4 linked regions of the Rattus norvegicus genome follow. The protein of the gene in region 2 interacts with the protein of the main gene of each other region in a pairwise test. Links are inferred from orthologs where the notes say so. Each region holds a gene or a part of one and is shown on either strand. Other genes may lie near its edges. The genes, in order: Ikbip, Tpm3, Mad1l1 and Kxd1.

Region 1 (4,412 bases), on a different chromosome or scaffold from region 2:
GGATGATGTAGCTTCCTGCAGGGTATTTTCAGTAGACTCAAGCTGTATTTATAACACAAAACAATCCCTGAGCTACTTAATACTTTTATATTAGAGAAACATACTTCAGCAATCAAGAGCATGTCATATACAAGGTTCAAATTCTGAAGGTGCCTAAAAGATCTAAGCACATCTGAATCACATTGACAGAAACATTTATTATTAAATAGCTTAAACAAATTTAATAGATGACAGATTTATAAACCAACTGTTAGAAGAATGTATACCTGAACTCATAACCCTAGTTATTTAACAGATCTCTTTCACGAGGGCATGCATAGTCAAAATAAATGATGTCAAATTTTTTGAAGTCTATTGCAGTTCTTTTTTTCAAAACATTGAAAGTAAGTAGATGTCATTTTTATGGCTATTTGGCTTGGGAAAGTGTAACAATGTAGACTTCGCCACCTCCCTAAATCCTATGACTTTGAAAGTTTCTGGTTGAATCCTTACCACTCTTTTTGCTAACCTCTTACAGAGGAAGGACTAGAATTGGGTTGTAAAAAGGGCAAGAATGAACTTTTATAAAAATAGTTGAGACACATACCATCAAATGGCAGAACGTCTGTCTGTAAATCAGGATGTGCCTCTAGGGCCTCTTAGAACGGGCCTGGGATATTTGGAAGGGCCAGGGACTTACCTAGTTTCCATCCTCACATGATACAAGCTTTAGCGAGAACCTAGCTTAATAAGCTATGAAGTGTTTGCAGCACTGTTCTGTGACAGGACACTGAACAAGTCACAGCTCTGCCCTTCAGTGGTTTACGTAGGAAGCAATTTGCAGGCACTCGAACAAGGGGGACACATGCAAGCACTTAGCGGAGCCCTGACCTGGACTTCAGGGACCAAGTAAATTCCTTCAGAAGCACCATCTAATAATCCCGTCCTTTCTAAACCACCTTACCCACTACTTACCATATTAAGGCTTTGAAAACTGCCAAGCATGTCACGCAACACCATTAAAAAACCTGAGATGATTCCTGATACTTGTAAGACAAGTCCATAGCCTTAGTCAGGTCAGGACATCCTGCAGTTATATTATTAGTTGCTACATGTAGTTCCTTAAGTGCTCAGACCTTGTGCAAGATGCCAGTTATAAAAATACCAATTTGGGGCTGGTGAGATAATGGCTCAGCGGTTAAGAGCACTGACTGTTCTTCCTAGAGGTCCTGAGTTCAATTCCCAGCAACCACATGGTGGCTCACAACCATCTGTAATCGGATCTGATGCCCTCTTCTGGTGTGTCTAAAGACAGCTACAGTGTATTTATATATAATAAATAAATAAATAAATAAATAAATAAATAAATAAATAAATCTTTAACAATATCAACTCGATGGAGCAGAAAATGCTTTGACTCTTCTGTATCCAACACTCCAGGGTCCTGATAAGAGTTACTGCTCATCCCCGATGAGCTAGCTTCGTGTCTAGGTGTTAGAGAGACACAGAGAGAAGATGCGTGTTTGTTCCAAAGGGAAGTGTGGGGGACAACAAATTAGTAACTGGTGACATTAGTGTGATGACGGACTCAACACAGGGCACAGTGAAAGCTCAGAGGAGAGGTAAGGCAGGAGAGTAAAGTGGGGAAGCCTAATGTGACTGAAATCGCCTCAACAGATGGATTAAGGCACGGTGAGGAGCTGAGGGTCTCCATTCCTTCCGGTTTTGTTGTGGTGGCTTTTGTCCCAAAATATCAAGAGTTTCCGGAACACATTTCTTTCTTTCTTTCTTCTTCTTCTTCTTTTTTTAACATTTAGAAATCGTAAAAGTTCTGTGTATGAATGTATGTGTACCACATGTATGTAGTGCTACAGTCATCAGAACAAGGCTTGGGATCTCCTGCAACTGCAGTTAGGGATGGTAGTGAACAACCATGTGGGTACTGGGAACTGAACCTGGGTCCTCTGATAGGCGCCAGTACTCTTAACCATTGAGCCACCTTTCCAGCTCCCGGAACACACGTCTTGATGGATATGGGCAGTATCTGATGTAAGGGAGATGCAGAAAACCCCTGAGGGGATTCAGTATGCCAACTGCTTTCTGGGACCATCTGAACGAAGGATCTATCTAGTAGGCGAAACAGTGCTATCCGGGTGTTAGATGGCACGTGTATAACAGAACTAGGTAATAAAAGAAGACCACTTAGAAATGTCCAGAAGCCATTTTAATTCACGCATGCAGCCACACCACAGTTAGAAGTTCATCTAAACAGAAGTTCAGAGAAGCACTTGTAACTAACTAGTGATAGTGTTAGGTTTGGGTGAGGACTGGATGGAGCTGAATACATTCATCTTGGCAACAAGAGCTTTACCCACTACGCCATCTGGCTGGTCCCATGTTCTAACTTTATATCTAAAGATCAAGCATGCCTTCGTTGTTTTGTTTAGCCCTGGCTGGTCTGGAATTTGCTTTGTAGTCCAGGCCAGCGTTGAGCTCAGAGATTTGCCTGCCTCAGTCTACAGAGTGCTGGAATTGAAGGCGTCAATATCATGGCCAGCTGGAGCAACAACCATCCTTTCAACACTTCCTGGGAACTAACTCGGATCACAGGGAGGATGCCGAGAGGAGAAAGTCCACTTAGGAGTTAAAATAGTAATAGTTTGAAGGCAGAAGAAAGACGCTTTGACCTGAAGTAGGAGAATGGTATTCGTAGCAAGGGGAGTATCTCTACCACACAAATTAATGAATACATTACCTTGTTGGAAATTAAGCTGATTTTACTCTGGAGTCCTTGAAACTCGCTGCTCTCTGTTTGCAGTAACCGGTACTGGTTTTCGACCTTCGCAAACTTTTCTGACTGTTGAAATACAAGCCTGGAAAAGAAAAACTTCATGACTATCACTCACTCCTGGTGAGAACAATATGTAGTCCCCGGATAGCTGCGGCAGAATTAGTCAGATGACTTCACCATCCAGGTGGCCTGCTGTGTGGGAGGTGACTGCATTAGCTCAATGCAAAGATGAGTCAACACCGCCTCTCTTCAGAGCTCCTGGCTCAGGGAGGGAGGCCGAGGAGCATCCCTCACAGATGTAAGAAAAAGAAATATTTTGGAAGAATCCAGGGTTGAACTATTTGGAATAAAAACTTTGATCTCTTCTGAGGATATAGGCCAGTAGTTCAATACCCAGCATACCAAGCTATCATCGCCCAAACTATTGTCCAAACTACGGTATGAGTGCTTATAATTGTAATTATTCAGGGAGGTTCTATAGGTTCTAGGTCATGTTATCCTCCATTATCGCACAGTGAGTCGGAGGCTTGAAGGCCAACTGGAGCTGCAGGAGACTGACTCAGAAAGAAAGAGGAAGAAGAGACAGAAATACAGACAGCCATTGCCCTACGCAAAGCAGGGTGTGACAACTCTATTTGACTGTACTCAGCAGTATACTCGTAGGTATGGTGTAGATGTCATTGTGAAATGGGGGCTTAGGGTGTAGGGCGATGGCTCAGTTGATAATGCGATAGCCATGTAAGCATGAGTGTGCTCCTTAGCACCCACATAAGAAGCTAACCTTGGGGGCTGGGGATTTAGCTCAGTGGTAGAGCGCTTACCTAGGAAGCGCAAGGCCCTGGGTTCGGTCCCCAGCTCCGAAAAAAAAAGAACCAAAAAAAAAAAAAAAAAAAAAAAAAAGAAGCTAACCTTGGCTAGAGAGATGGCTCAGCGGTTAAGAGCACTGACTGCTCTTCCAGAGGTCCTGAGTTCAATTCCCAGCAACCACATGGTGGCTCACAACCATCTGTAATGGGATCTGATGCCCTCTTCTGGTGTGTCTGAAGACAGCTACAGGGTACTCACATACATAAAATAAATAAATAAATCTTTAAAGAAAAAAAATAATCTGTTGTTTTATTGAATGAGTTAGCCAGACCCCCTTATCCAATCTTCGGGATAATAAATAAACATATCTTTGGAGAAGATTTGAAATGAGTAGGCACAGAAGAAATCTTAGGTTTAATAACATGTTGTTTATCTACAGTAAGTCAGTTCTCTGGGTTCCACATGTTTTGTGCACTGAGCCATCAGAAAGCAACGGAGCAGAATCATGAGAGGTCCCTAAGTCATAGGATCCAGATTAGTGACTGCAAATCTTCCCTAAGCATTGGAACCAGTCACCAGACAGCGCTAACACATCCATGCCTGGGGTCTCAATGACAGAGACTCCTATTTAGTTAGTCATGGATATGGCTCGGATATTGGATATTCTAATAGCTTCCCAGGTCGTCTGACTCTGCAGGCGAGCTGAGCTTCCCTCATTGATCATATCTTATACTTTCTCAGAGAAGACGAAGGACTCCAAAGCTTCGTAGAGAGGCGAGAGGCCCCTCAAAGTGCAGCTGAGCTGTGTTTTGAACTTAACAATGGTATCTCAGGG
Region 2 (5,212 bases):
TCTAAATCTGGCACTCTGCCACACTGGGGTTTCCCTTTTTAGATAGAAGTCACAGGTGTAACTCACAGTAGAGACAGTACTAGAGAAACCAGGCCTGTGGGGAAGAAAGGACTGCTGTGCCCTGTGTTCACACATGCACACCCACTGTGTTCACACAAGCCAGGGAACTTTCCTCAGGAAATTTTACCAAGGGGGAGGGAGGCTGGGGATTGGAGCTATCCGCCCCTCAGAGTCAACAGAGGTGGAGTCTAGGCAGAGGCACTTAAGAGCAAAGGGCTGTTTGCCTCTCCTGGAGGAGTGTGCTCTAAAATAGGGGGCAGAGAAAGGCAACCAGCAGCCAAACCAACCCAAACCTCTAACAGGAGGAGAGGTCACAGTGCTCATGTGTCCACCAGACACACACACCCAAGCATCCTGGGCCCCTTCCCAGACCAAGAATTTAGGATCAAAGTTAGGAACTTCTGTTCAACGCCCACTCTCCTCTCGGTGGTACTTCGGTTTTGGAGCACAACCAAAGGAAAAGTCAAAAATACCATAGAAAACGTGGAGAGAGAGAGAACTAGTTTTTAAAGGGTAAGATGAACCACTCACTTAAAAATGCTAACAATGGGGCCAGAGAGATGGCTCAGAAGGTAGAGCTGCTCTTTGTAGACTTTGGCTCCCACTTTGCCTGGGGGGGGGGGGGGGAGGTGCATCCACAACTACCTGCAACTCCAGCTCAAGGGGGTCAGACACCCACACACACATATATGAATAAAATTAGTAATAAGAAAGGTCACAGTGGAGACACAGGCACGGCAGTTGAACACGGGAGGAGACTATTCCAGAGGCAATGCAGAAGGCTCACTTGAGTCCAACAGTTGAAGGGCCAGCCTGTGCAGGTAAGTTCTCATGTTATACATGCATCTTTTTATCACTAACAATAAGCGCATTGAATTTTACACTGTTACCTGTTGAAGTTTCGACAAGACAGTGTAGTCGAGAGGTTGAGAAAGTTTGTCTTAACATAAGGCCCTAGGTCTGATCCCAACACCACTTAAGACCCAAAACAAGAAAACACTCTTATCAAACACAAAGGAAATTCAAAACTGAAAGTAAACCTTCACGGGGAGCTATGTTATAAAAGGCCTGGCTGCCCTCAGAACTTGCCGCCCAGCTTTGGCCATGTCTAGTTTAACAAAGGCAGCTTGGATCCCCATACAGAGTGCAACAAGACAGTCTATACTAATACGACATAGGATTTCCACCAGGTAGTGTGGCAGGAGGACCCTACAAAACCCACATTCCACAGCAGCCCTACAAGAAAGAGGTGACTCAAGCATCTCCCTTCCTCCTCTGACTCTTCAGTAGAGGCTCAAAGTTCGAGAGTGCAAAAAGTCAAAAGCTCACAAAGAAGATACTAGTTTCATCAATATTTAACTACCACCCTACTTCCCCATTCTGAGGACTTCCTCAGGAGGCTTCTGTGAAATAAGCACATTTGGTAAGCCCTGAACATGTGAAAACACTCAGGTGGCTTATCATCCCAGAGTCATCACGCAGAAGAAAGGAACGCCAAATGTACCTGCAAGGAAAATGACCAAACTCTGGGACAGAGAGACACACCCTAAAACTACTCCAGGGTACCTACATTTAGACATCAGCCTAACACCGCTGCACCCGGCTAATTCCTTCCACTGTACTCTCTTTTCTTTTCTGGAGACTTCCTCATCTCTACAGCAATCTCACTAGACTTGATAAGGAGAAGTTACAGGCATGCCAGGAGTGGCCAAGCAAGCCTACAGTAATTCCCAAAGTAATTCCAGCACTTGAGAAGCTTAGGCAGGAGGATTGCTGGGAATACAAAGAGACATCCTGTCTCAAAACAGTCGTACTGGACACCTAGGGTGATGTGAAGACAAGCTCTGTCATCTCTATGCCCATTATAAAGAATTTTTATAACGTTTAAACATTAACTTGGAAGGGAGCTGTGCTCTCCTTTTCCACACTTACCCCTTTTGCCCCCTCAAAAATATCGTTACTCCTCAAATGAACAGCAGAAAGGCAGAGAGAAAGAGAGAGAAAGAGAAAGAGGGAGAAAGAGAGAGAGAGAGAGAGAGAAAGCAAGAGCAATAAAGAACGCCAGTAAACCACAAGAGTTCTTTTTCATTAGGTCTTAAGCAGGAATCCATTCATACCACTAACACAGTTGAACAAAACCCACTAGATAGCTAAGAAAACAGCTTCCCCCGAAATCACCAGTGCCACTCACTAATCTGTTCCCATCCTCCAATGTTCCAATCAGTCAGGAACCTTGAAACTGGCGTGGCATTTGACTCTCTGCTATACACTCCCTTATCAGCCAGCTTAGGAGAAATGTTCTAAGTCAAATTTGTACTGCTCACATTTCTGGCAGAAGTTCCTGCCTTCCAGGTCATGATGGGCAGGGCCTACTAGGTTTGCTGGCTCCGACATTTGCTAACAACGTGGGGAGTACCATCTCCTCTCCCACTTCACAAGTGAGGGGCGGGAATGCCAGTTAGTTATAAAAGGTCCCCAAGTTCGAGGATGGGAGGTCTTAAGCTCCGCCAGTGAGGGAGGGAACCGCGCTTCCTCTCAGCCAACTGCTGGCTCATTTCCTGAGCAGGAGGAGGGAGCGGAAAAGCTGCCAGTAGGCCAGGTCGGGGGCTTTCCGGCGGTTCCCACCTCCCACCCTCATTTTTCACAGGTTAGGCTCGGCCCCCTCCCGGACCAGAGAAGCACTCACTAACTTCTACCCCTCAGACCGGAAACCTCTAGCGAGAGTAAAAGGTCCCCACCCTTCTCAGAGAAGTGGGGGAGGGAAAGACCGCTGAGCCCCTCCCCTGGCCGCGCCCGGCTCCGAGGGACTGAATGAATGAGCTGGGGGAAAAAGGGAGAGGGCAGCCCGCGCCGCGCGGAGCTCGATTTTTTCCAGGGTCTATCTAGCCTGCTCGCGCAAGCACTTAGTTTCCTCCGCAGCCGCTTACCGGGCCATCGTAATCGAGTCCCACCCAACCTTCGGGCTCCACGACCAGTCAGGGCTTCCAGGGCTCCATGGAGCTGAGCACAGCAGAGTGCTGATCCCTTCCCTGCTACGCCCCGACTCTCCGTGCTTACCTGCTCCCGGGCCCGCCTTTCTCCCTCCACTTCCCGCTGGAGGCGCTCGGCCCTCTCCTCCGCATCATCAGCCTGCTGCTGCAGAACCTGGATCTTGCGCTTTACCGCCTCGATGGTGGTGCTCCCGGCCATGGTGCCTACCCAGCTGCTTCTGGAAATCAGGTTCCTACCTCCTCCGCTCGGCGTTGTAGCCGCTTTTCACCCTACTTCCGCCTGCTCCGCCCTGAAATACCGGAACTCACTCACCCGCCCGGATGTGACGCCGCCACCACCGCGCGTCCTCCCCCTGCCAAGCAGGCGGGAACGCAGTCCACTCGAGGGGCAGCGGGCAGAAAGTGAGGGGTGGAGCCTCCCAGTAACCCTAGGCGACCACTCAGGGCGGTCTTTCCTTAGACCAGTAAAGGGGGGCGGGGTTTGGTAAGGCTACCATAGTAACTGAGAGGCGCTTCATAGTCTAGCCTCACCCACCAGGCTACCTCCCAACAATGGCTGTCCCATTTACTAGAATGGTGCTGTCGTGATCACTTACGCAGGTGACCCCTCTCTTATCCAGTGCCTCCCTACCACTATGTCCGCTCCGCAATATAAAGTATCCCATATGCTTTCCTTTCTACTCAGTTTACAACAGACTCCAAAACAAGGTTCTGAGACAAGCCTAGAAGACTCTAGCCTTCATCTTGCAAGGAGTCGCAGTGAGCTCCTTTGAAAACCTATTAGGAGGGGCTGTGGATATTGCTCAGATTGTAGATCACTAGCCCAGCATCACTAGCTCTGGGCTGGATCTCCAGGAGCACTTAAACTGTCATAGTGGAGGGTGGACACAGAAAGAGCAGAAATCCAAGGTCATCCTTGGCTACATGGTGAATTCAAGACTAGTCTGAGCTACATAAAACTCTGTCTCAAAACAACCCCAAAAACTGTTGAGACAGTTCTCTCCCATTCCCTGCAAGTCGATACCAGAACTACCAGATGGAAAAGATTGGCAAGTTGGCATTCTATTAGGATCAGCTCTGAACTGAGGTGTTTTGTTTGAATAGTAGTTTTGTCCCCTGAAGCTTTTAAGAGAGTCCATAGGAATGAGCAGTTAACCTGCCACCACCCCCTTTTACCCTTAAAATGATTTTGGACTTGGAATTTAATATTCATGTACAACTCCTTTTGTAGACAAGATATTTACACTTCTATCATCATATCCTTGGTGCGACAGAAAGATATAAGTATATGGAAAACTACTGTGGAATTTAACCTCTGAATTGTAGTAACTTCCACTAGTTTCACTTTGGCTTTCAGGTACTCCAAGGAGCTATTATATGAGTTCAAAACTACTTCTACAGGTCCTATTGGTCAGGATTTCTGGAGGCACAACTATAACGAGGTTTATTTTGTTTTCCCTTTGCTTCTCTAGGTTTTTTTTTTTTTTTTTTTGATTCATTCATTTATGTATGAGTGAGCTCTCTGTGGGTGCACCTCCATGCCAGAAGAGGGCATCAGATGACATTACAGATGGTTGTGAGCTACCCTATCTTTGCTGGAAATTGAACTCAGGACCTCTGGAAGAGCACAGACAGTGCTCTTAACCGCTGAGCCATCTCTCCAGCTCCTGCTATTCTAGTTTTTGCTTCCTTTGTTTTATATTTGGTTTTTGAGATTGTATCTGAGGTAGTCCTGACTGGCCTCCAACTCATTTTTGTAGCCCTGGTTGGTCCTAACCTTTGGACCCTTCTTTATCGACTTCCTAAGAATTGAAATTTCACGTGTGAACTCTCACATCGTACCTTTATTTCTCTGACTTTCTACCACCTTCTCAGTAATTAATCATGATAAATCCCTCCCTTGATAAACCTCTTTCCTTCCCTTGAGAAATAGGATATGAAGTAGGATTTAGAACTAAGGATATTAACTTGAGGTTGGGGATTTAGCTCTGTGGAATCTCTGGGTTCAGCAAAACACTAGTGCTCCTTGTATCTGGTTCTAGGTCTCAGGATGTTCCTTTCTTTTTGAGGGGAAAAAAAGACTCTTGAACAATGAGACTATTCAGAAAAAACAACTTGGACAAATAATAATTTCTCAGAAGTGTATCCTGTACACATTGATT
Region 3 (5,128 bases), on a different chromosome or scaffold from region 2:
TTTCTAAAGATTTATTTATTACCTTTAGGTAATATCAGTGCTCTATCTGTATGTACACCCGGAGAAGGCATCAGATCCCATTACAGATGGCTGGGAGCCACCGTGTGGTTGCTGGGAATTGAACTCGGGACCTCTGGAAGAGCAGTCAGTGCTCTTAACCGCGGAGCCATCTCTCCAGCCCTCGGCCCTTTGCTTCAATAGTCTGATAACCAAAGGGCCAGTTGAGGAGCAGGGCTGTTTCAGGACACTCAGAAGGCTGATGGGTTGCTGTGAGGTCCAGGCCAACCTGGGGTACAGGGTAAGATTCTGTTTCTCAGCTTGACCCCAAAATACAACATTCATCTCAAAACGGATGCAAGAATCTTTTGTGTTTATTTATTTTTGAAAGATTTATTATTTTATATATAATGAGGAAACCGTTGCTGTCTTCAGACACACCAGACACATTACAGACAGATTACACATAGTTGTGAGCCACCATGTAGTTGTGGGAAATTGAACTCAGGACCTCTGGGAGAGCAGTCAATGCTCTTCACGGTTTAGCCATCTCTCCAGCCCAATGTTTTTACTTTTTGGTTTTTCCAGGTAGAGTTTCTCTGTGTAGCTCTGGGTGTCCTGGAACTTCCTTTGTAGTCCAGGCTGGCCTTGAACTCACAGAGAAACTCCTGCCTCTGCCTCCAGAGTGCTGGGATTAGACACATGTGCCACTACCACCGAGATGGACAGGTCGTTTATTCTTGAGCCAAATGTCCCAGAAACACAGACTTAAAATTAAGTTACCCCAAATTCCATGTTCCAGTCTGGAAGCAGTGAGGAAATTTTTATAGTAACAGAATAAAGAAAGTCATGAATCAAGGCACTTTAAAAATACATTGGTGGGGGACAGGCGGCGCATTACTTTATTCTCAGCAGTTGGGGGTGGGGTGCAAAGGCAGGTGGAGGCAGCCTTGAGGCACACAGAGAAACCCTGCCTTTAAAAACCCAAACCAGACAAATCAAAACAAAACGAAACAAACAACAACAAAAACCAAAGCAAACAAAATCTTTCTTGGTGGTGGGGCGGAGAAATGGCTCGGGTTAAGATCATTGGTTGCTCTTCGAGAGACCCCAGATTCAATGCTCAGCGCATACATCTTGGCGCATAGACATCTAACTCCCATTTCAGAGGATCTGTTGTCCTCATCTGGTCTCTATGGGCATCATGTATGCACACAAAACACCCATAAAATAATAAAACATGAAAACAAATAGACTAGTGGAAGATTTAAGTAGGCAGTTATAGCAAAGCAGAGAAATAGCAGCTATATGCTTCTCATGCAGTTCGTGGGCTTTTGGTTGGTAGAAACTGGGTTTTAATGTATTCCAAGAGGTTTTTATCCATAAGTCACAACACGTTAGAGCTGACACAGAGGCGGGTAAGCAATGGGTATGACGGGGGTTAAAGATAGAGCCCAAGACAAATTACAACAGGCTCTGGACCGGCAACGTTACCGAAGGCAACCAGCCAATCCGCCTTTACAGTCACAATTTCTTCCCAGGAATTCTCATTTACAAAGGAAAGAAAATGAAACAAGCTAACCAATCAAAACACCGCCCCAAACAAAACAACCTGTGTATACATACACAGTGGCAAGATTCAGAGAAAAATCAACTTTCCAAAGCTATGTTTACTTTCCATGCCCAGCAGTTGTGGTGCAAGCCTTTTAATTCCATCCAGCACTAGGAAGATCTTTGTGAGTTAGAGGCTACACAGAGAAACACTGACACAAAAGCAAAACAAACGTTCCCTCCCAAGCAGTGCTACTCCACACATTACGGCGCACTGGGTGGCGTTCGAAGAGCGCCCTGAGGGACAGGCACCCTGGCTCAGTGTGGTTTCCAGCCCCTTGGCAGGACAGCAGTTGTTCTCAGGACACGCCTGTGGCGCGCATATTTGATTCTTTACGGGCCGTTTTCTCAGATCTCGCGAGACCCTCGCGGAAGTCTCGCGATACATAGGCACCGGCGGAGAGGAGGGAGATCTGAGCCGCTGCTGCAGCACTCGGCTCCTCAACTCGGGTAAGTGGCCGAGTGGTCGGGTCTGCGAGTTCCCCAGGCGCTGCGCGCGCTGCCCGACCGTACCGACGCCATGGGAAGGAGCTGTCCGCTGCCTTCCGGCATGCACACAGTCCGAGTCGATCCTGTCGCGCGACTTCCCTTTGCGGGGTCTTCCGTGTCGTGCTCCCGGGGCCGCTGTGGACCCCCGTGTCCCGTTGCAGGGCGCGGGTAGGCGTGCCTGGACCGGAACCGGGGCGGAGGGGACCGAGTGGTCTGCTGTGGGCTGAAGGGCTCCCGGGGTTGGAGTCAGTTACCTTGTAGATCCCAGGGATCGAACTCAGATTGACAGTCTTGGTGGCAAGCCCTCGTAAGCGCTGAGTCGTATGTCAAGCCCTCTCTGTCTCTGTCTCTCTGTCTCTCTGTCTCTCGTCTCTCTCTGTGTCTCTTTCTGTCTCTCTGTGTGTATGTGTGTGCCTGTTTTTGGCAGTACTGTTGATTGAACCTCGGACCTTATGCACTCCATCACTAAACTATGTCCCCATCCCTTTTAAAAGTTAATTGATTGGCTGTGTGTGTGTGTCTGTCTGCCTGCCTGCCTGTCTGTCAGTCTGTCTGTCTGCCTGATTTTGGCAGTACTGTTGATTGACCTAGGACCTTATGCACTCTACCACTGAACTATGTCCACAGCTCTTTTAAAAATAAATGGACGGGCTAATTAATTAATTAGCAAATTAATTAATTAATTAATTGTGTGTGTGTTTGCCGGTGTATACCAGGCTACCGGTGGAGGGAGGTTAACTTAGTTCTCTTCTTCCTCTGTATGGATCCTAGAGATGGAACCTTGCTTGTCTGTCTAGCCCTAAAGTGCATTGCAGATTGAGCTGTTTTTTGGGCCCCCTTCTTCCCCCGCAGTTCATAGGATTGAGCCTAGGGCTTCATGCATGCTAAGCAGTTACCGACTCTGCTGCCTCCTCAGCCCGATTCTTACTTTTTCCTCTTAATTTTTATTCTGTGACGGGACTTCCCAAGTGTTCCAGGCTGGCCTTGAACTTGCAACCAGCCTTTGAATTTGTCTCAGCCTTCTGAGTACCTGGGATGACAAGCCTGTGTCACCAATTGCCAGGTTTTTAGGCTGTGCCTTGGCTGAGACCAGAAAGAAGGTGTGTGCATACCTGTTAAGTCAGAAGCCATCCAGGGCAGCTGGTGTTCTGGAAGGTCTGTTGCCTGGAAGTTCAGGGTTCCTGTAGAGAGGGTACAGTTTGAGGTGACGATTTAGTTACCTGTGTGGCTTCTGAAATGGTTCTTGTGTCTGTGGCTGAGTTCTTGTCCTGGAGAGGGAGGACAGAAAGTGTGACTTTTCCTTCGATCTTTGAGAACAGAGGTCTACTTCTTCCCACTGCGTCTGTTCTCCATCTGGTGACCAGCTCTTGCTTTGTTGTGTGTGTATTTGGGGTGTACACTAAGGTTCTTGTTAAGTGAAAAATTCAGAAGAAATTTCTGCAAAGTAACCCTCCCCCGGCCCTTTTGAGATTGGGTCTAGCTGTATTCTTAGGTCTCTGTGTAACCCAGGCTGGCCTGCAACATGTGATCTTGCCTCAGCCCTCATATACATTCCTTTTTTCTTCAGGACCTTTCTCCAATTGAGAAATGCTTGGGCTTCTTTGCCACTGACCCTCTCCCCCACTGCAAGGAATGCCAACACCTTACCTGGTCCTTCAGTCTCACCTGGCATGACATATATGGCAGTCTCTCCATTCTGTCCTGAGAAGATTGTGAAGGAGTTTAGACAGCTACAGAGGCACATGCAGATTCCTTCCACACTAAGGACAGGGACCACAATCCATTGGTTCACTCACTATCCCATGGGCTGACTCTAATTGGAAGTACTAGGACAGCTCAGGTGACCCCCTAAAGAAAGGTTATGTGATTACTTGGCTTGATAGAAGACTGAAGAGGGTCTTCTGCCCCCATCACCATCGTGACTTCCAGGGCAATATTGTCCGTTGCTGGCAAGTCTGTTTTGTTCTCATTGCATTAAGGGTCTACTTATTCAGACTTATCAGAATATTCTAGACCTGCCCTAGTGTCTGTTCTAGGGGGACCAGGCAGTCGTTTGGAGGAGCACCGAGAGTGAGTTAAAGGCTAAAATGTTGCCTAGTCCTGGATCTTTCTGCTTTTGTTGTGAGGGTACTCTATAGACCCCATTCTTAAAAAGGTGCTCGTGTCTGAATTCCAGGGTGTCAGGTGTCACAGTGTGGGATCAGCTCTTTCCTCCTCCTTGTGGGTCATGGGGCTCAAACACAGGTCCATAGGCTTCATGGGAAGCATCTTTAACCACTAAGCTGTTTCCCCAGCCCTACACCAGGTAACTCACAGACATTAAAGTTACAGACATCCCACAGTGATTCCATTATCCCAAATGGAGAAGAGCATCCAGCCAGGGCCACAAAGTTGCAGCCATGTCCTCTGGCCTTACAGGGCTTAGTTCTCTCTGCCTGACTAGATGCCATCTGTCACTGCTTGCCACTCGAGAATCTTGGTATAAGAGGTTGTCTGCATTCTCTCCAGTTTTTCATTTTTCTAGCTCCTGGCTTCAGTCTGACAGTGGGATACTGCTGGTTGTCCTTACCCAGGTCTCTTGTAAGAGCCCTGTTCTCCCTTTGCTTGGACTCCATGCCCATGGGAGTGCAACACTCCTGCCAGTACAGCCCCTGTGTGATCCGAATCAGTACCTAAATCTCCTCCTTCCCTGGTCCATCCCAGTCACCGATCTGAAAAGAGCTCTTCTCTGTCCCCTGGCTATTCTTTCAGAAAGCCCGGGGTGAGCTGTTGTTGCCTCTTCTGGCTATTAGGCACCTTTCATGCAGGCCCAGCCTTGTCCTCTCCCCTGCTGGGGTGGGAGTGAACATTTCTTTTCTTTCTTTTTTTTTTTTTTTGTAGTTCTTTTTTTTAGGAGCTGGGGACTGAACCCAGGGCCTTGCGCTTCCTAGGTAAGCACTCTACCACTGAGCTAAATCCCCAGCCCCGGGAGTGGACATTTCTATCCAGACTCTTCTCACTTCTTGGGCTTCTTTTCTTGGGAATATCTTCT
Region 4 (4,403 bases), on a different chromosome or scaffold from region 2:
GTGTGCCAAACTTATGTATGTGCTGAGCAGAGCCTCCTCCTCAGGCCCCTTTTTGACTTCAGGTTGGCCTTGAAGTCACCACAGAGCTGCCACTGACCTGGAAATCAAGTCCCTCCTATCTCAAGCTCTGGTACAGAATCACCACCCCCAGTTGGCTTTATTACCTTATGAACTGGCTTCTGGTTGCTCTGCCCTGAAGTCCTGCACTCCAGGCCTGACGGGCTAAAGAAGGGTCTTCAGAGAGTCAGCCCATACACTGACAGCAGCCAGTGTGGCAGTCACACAATGACTCAGCACTTGTGAGGCTCAGCACTTGACACACTGGACTCTTGTCTCCTTTCTGGGGATCTAGGACACATGCTGCTGTATTTACTCTTGGGGCTCAAAGAGCTACCTATTCCCCAAACTACATGTCGAGTCAGCCTGGCATTCGGGGCTAGAAAAACTAGCAGACAAGGGCAGCAGAGCACCTTGGTACCAGGGAGGCAGAGGCAGGTGGATCTTTGTGAGTTTCAGGACAGCAATTGAGACCTTGCCTCAAAAACAAAGCAAAACAGCACCAATAAAAACATTAAATAGACTGGTATAGAGCATCTCAAGACTTCTGGGTAGAGTTTACTTTGTTCCCTTAGGTCCCCAGGCCACACAGCCTTGGGCTAGAGGATAGGGCACACGTGTGATCTGGATCCCGTGGTCTTGGCTGTTCTGGTCTGGGCAGCTGGCTGCTGGTGTGTCTGCCACAGTGGTGGGTGAGGCTGTGGAGTACACCTGAAGGACCATGCTGAGTGCCAAAGACGTGGATATCATGGTCCAGGAGCGAGCACCACTGTGGGAAGACCCAAACCAAACCCTACCTATATCCAGGATGGACACGGGGCCCCGGTTCTCTGCTGGCCAGTCAGCCAGAAGTGGAGGGCCCGGCCTGTCTACCCGCCTCCTGACTCGTATAGGGTCCCAACTATGTAGCACAGGTTCCAAGTAAAAGGGAAAGTCACAACTGGGTGATTAAACACCCAAGCTTCAATCCCAGCATTCAGGAAGCAGAGGCAGATGGATCTCTGAGTTTAAGGCCAGCCTGGTCTACAGAGGGAGTTCCAGAACACAAAGGCTACACACAAAAAAAAGAAGGGGTGGGAAGAGATTCACTTCCATATCACTCCCTCAGAGGTCAGATCTGTCTTGTTAAACATCCATAATTCCCTAGACTGAAGAAGACAGAGGGCAGAGCTAGTGAAGAGAAGAGGAGGCCTCGGAGGGGAGGGAGAGGGGAGAGGGTGGAGCAAGGACTTAAGGGACTAAGGAGGCAGAGGTGAGCAAAGGGCCCTGGGGTAGGGTCTTGGAGGTACTAGGAAGAGCTTCAGAGTGAAGGCGCTGGACATCTAAAGAGTTGGTGACAGAAAGGGCCAAGAGTGGGGGATTGAGAACAGTGGTTTGGGGAAGATGTGCTGAGGAAGCATCTGGCTGTGAGACCACAGAAGAGCTCTGGGGGGAGGGGGCCACCTGATCCTGCGGAAGATGCTGTCCAGGTCCCGTTTCATGTCCACCAAGGTGCGGGTGTGGTGCATGAAGCGCTCGCTCATCTGCTGCAGCCGCACGCTGGACAGATTGTTGAAGTTCAGAAGCATCTCGTTGGTTTTCTCGAAGCGGTCCAGCCTAGGGGGAGAGGGCCAGGGCCTTTGCATCAGGCCTAGGAACTCCCTCAGCCTGAGCTAATCCCTGAGTCATAGCCTCTGCATTTAATTACAGAGTCAAGGCCTGAGGAATTCTGTCTGCTGTTCTGGTCGCCCAACTCCTACTCACAGTTGAAAGCCCTATTCAAAGGCACTCTTTGTTGCAGCCTACATATTTCATGGAGTTCTTTAGTGGGCATTAGTCCTCTGACAGGATGTTGCCCTGCCTGGGACCTACTCTTATGTTCTAAACTGACCTTGAACTGCCTCTAGAGAAGTACAGCAATTACAGGCGTGTGCACTATGTCCAGGCATGAAGCTGGCATTTTTGAGACAGTGTCTGTAGCCTTGACTGGCTTGGAGCTCAGGAAGGAGTTAAAGGTGTGCGCTGCCTGCCACACCAGGGCCATACTGATGTTCTATTATGTGCTCTGCCTCTGTGCCTCTGTGGAGCATGTGCATGGAGCATGTGCACACACAGCCTACGAAGGTCAGAAGGTGTGTCCCCTGGAACATGAGCTACAGTAGGGAGCTGCCATGTGGGTGCTGGGAACCCCCCTTAAGAGCAGCTAGTACTCGTAGCCACTTTACATCTCTCAGCACATGTTTTTTTCTTTTCAAGGTTTAGTTTTTTTTTTTTGGAGCTGGGGACCGAACCCAGGGCCTTGCGCTTCCTAGGTAAGCGCTCTACCACTGAGCTAAATCCCCAGCCCCCAAGGTTTAGTTTTTAAATGTTTCCCCAGACCAATATTCTGAAAATGTGTATGATATTGGGGGAGAAGGGGTGGAACATTGGGGTACACAATGAAGAGGATCTTGGGAACCCAACCTCTCCCCCCATTTCTTTCTTGGCTTCTTGGCTACAAACAGCTTCAAAAGATGGACAGAGGGTTGGGGATTTAGCTCAGTGGTAGAGCGCTTGCCTAGAAAGCGCAAGGCCCTGGGTTCGGTCCCCAGCTCCGAAAAAAAAAAAAAAGATGGACAGAAATCTAAGCCAGAAAGCCTTTCTCTGTTAGGTACCACCTCCTGCATTTTGTCACATCAATAGGAAGTTGATGTCCTTTCTCAGAATCACTCAATCCTCAAGCTGACTGCTCCTTGTTACACTGTGTAAACCCCAAGTCAGTCCCAAAGGCCAGGACAGTTCCCATTTGATTTTGTCACTGTTAGTCTGGGAGTTTTGTCACTGTTAGTCTGGGAGTTTACGTGGACATATCTGAACCTAACCTGAAGAACCAGGATAAGTCCTGGGCATGGTGGCAAAACCTAAAAACAAACAAACAAACAAACAAACCCCAACGCAACAACAAAACATAACTAAGTAAATAACCCAAGGTAAAGAACCCCACAAGACACTGCCTCTGGCTGCAGGCTGTGTCACAAACAGAGCTGGGAGCATCTACATGCTTGGCAACAGTCAATCTGAATTCAAGGTAGGCTGTCCCAGCGAGGGAGCAAAGCATCCTGAAGCAGGCTCCCTGCAGACCCAGATCGGGCACTCGGTACCAATGCCAAAAGCCAGCCCAGAAGTTCCTGAGACCCCTATCCCTTCAGCCCTCCCAGCCTTGGCCTGGGGACAGGAACTGCTTGGGCCTTTCCCACACAGCTGCAATCCGATCCTGTGCCAAGGCTGGGAACTAGGGGCTTGTTTTCTTTATTCTGTTACGTCTCTGGGCAGGGTTTGGGGAAAATGGTATGATCCTTCCCATGCCTCCCATGGCCTGCTCACATGTTCTTCTGGGCCAGAATTATGGCGTTGACGTCATCAGTGTTCACCATGCTGAGGAAGCGGCCACAGAAGACCCTTGAGGCTGAGTCTGGGGTGTCCATCTCTTTCTCCTTAACCCCTGAAGCCTGAAATGACCGGAACAGAATGTGAGCTCAGCACTAGATAGGTGAGGATATCAAGAGCCCGTCATATCCTCCAGCTGAAATCGTGGGCTGTTTGGGGGCCTGACAGAGACTTGTTCTTAGAGAACATAATCCTGGAAGGCTGTAAAGGCAGCACACTTGATTCCAGCATTTGGGAAGCTGACGCAGGAGGATGAACCAGGGCTAAAGGGTGAGCTCTTCACTCTGCCACCTTGCATAGCTCAGAGCTCTCCACAGACACAGCTGAAAATGCCGTCCCTCCTTTCACTGTCCACATGATTCTGCAAGGCTGCCAGCCACTTCTCCTGTGTGCCCTTCTAGCTTCAGGTCAGTATTTTCCATGGAACACGCCCAGGTGCTACAGTGCTCACATGATAGAGGACAACTATAGAGACTGCTTTTCCTTCCAGATACAGAGCCTAGGAGGTCAGACACCCTGGGCTAGCTACAGGTGGCCATAGACACCACACAGAACTCAGGTTCTCTTCCACTACAGCAAGTAGTCTGTGGCACCTCTGCAGGTCCGTTCTTCCACCAGCTTCCAAGGTCTGCCTGTACCTGCTCTCTACCTCACCGTCACTGAGCCCAGCTCTGTGTGTAAGTTCTAGAGACCGAATCTTGGTCCAGAAGCATGTTATTAGCTCAGTTAATGCGGCAAGCACACCCTCCTTTCAAGACAGGGTCGCACTGTGTAGCCCAAGCTGGCTGTAACTCTCTATGTAGCCCAAAGTGGTCTCCAACCTACAGTGTAGCTGAGGACAACCTGGACTTCCTGATTCTCCTGCCTTACCTCCTGAGTGCTGGCATGTGGTTTTTATACATACTTATGAGTGCATGTATGTACTGTGGTTGGTATGCATG

The links.
Region 1: the proteins of Tpm3 (region 2) and Ikbip interact in a two-hybrid assay, tested with the Homo sapiens proteins (2 studies listed by BioGRID). The two-hybrid records come from large-scale screens. The link is inferred for Rattus norvegicus from reciprocal best matches to the Homo sapiens genes TPM3 and IKBIP.
Region 3: the proteins of Tpm3 (region 2) and Mad1l1 interact in binary tests that used the Homo sapiens proteins (3 or more experiments, as listed by UniProt). The two-hybrid records come from large-scale screens. The link is inferred for Rattus norvegicus from reciprocal best matches to the Homo sapiens genes TPM3 and MAD1L1.
Region 4: the proteins of Tpm3 (region 2) and Kxd1 interact in binary tests that used the Homo sapiens proteins (3 or more experiments, as listed by UniProt). The two-hybrid records come from large-scale screens. The link is inferred for Rattus norvegicus from reciprocal best matches to the Homo sapiens genes TPM3 and KXD1.

What each region holds. Positions count from the first base shown.
Region 1 is NC_086025.1:27,473,218-27,477,629, reverse strand, and holds part of Ikbip (inhibitor of nuclear factor kappa-B kinase-interacting protein), read right to left. Parts: intron 2,853-4,412; coding exon 2,735-2,852; intron 43-2,734; coding exon 1-42. UniProt on the Homo sapiens protein: Target of p53/TP53 with pro-apoptotic function.
Region 2 is NC_086020.1:177,819,462-177,824,673, reverse strand, and holds the start of Tpm3 (tropomyosin alpha-3 chain), read right to left. Parts: upstream 3,310-5,212; 5' UTR 3,250-3,309; coding exon 3,118-3,249; intron 615-3,117; exon of another isoform or gene 1-614. UniProt on the Homo sapiens protein: Binds to actin filaments in muscle and non-muscle cells. Plays a central role, in association with the troponin complex, in the calcium dependent regulation of vertebrate striated muscle contraction.
Region 3 is NC_086030.1:19,432,768-19,437,895, forward strand, and holds the start of Mad1l1 (mitotic spindle assembly checkpoint protein MAD1), read left to right. Parts: upstream 1-2,014; 5' UTR 2,015-2,058; intron 2,059-2,109; exon of another isoform or gene 2,110-2,128; coding exon of another isoform or gene 2,129-2,265; intron 2,266-5,128. UniProt on the Homo sapiens protein: Component of the spindle-assembly checkpoint that prevents the onset of anaphase until all chromosomes are properly aligned at the metaphase plate.
Region 4 is NC_086034.1:18,943,050-18,947,452, reverse strand, and holds part of Kxd1 (kxDL motif-containing protein 1), read right to left. Parts: intron 3,525-4,403; coding exon of another isoform or gene 3,501-3,524; coding exon 3,400-3,500; intron 1,654-3,399; coding exon 1,501-1,653; intron 827-1,500; coding exon of another isoform or gene 616-826; exon of another isoform or gene 587-615; intron 349-586; coding exon of another isoform or gene 291-348; exon of another isoform or gene 165-290; intron 1-164.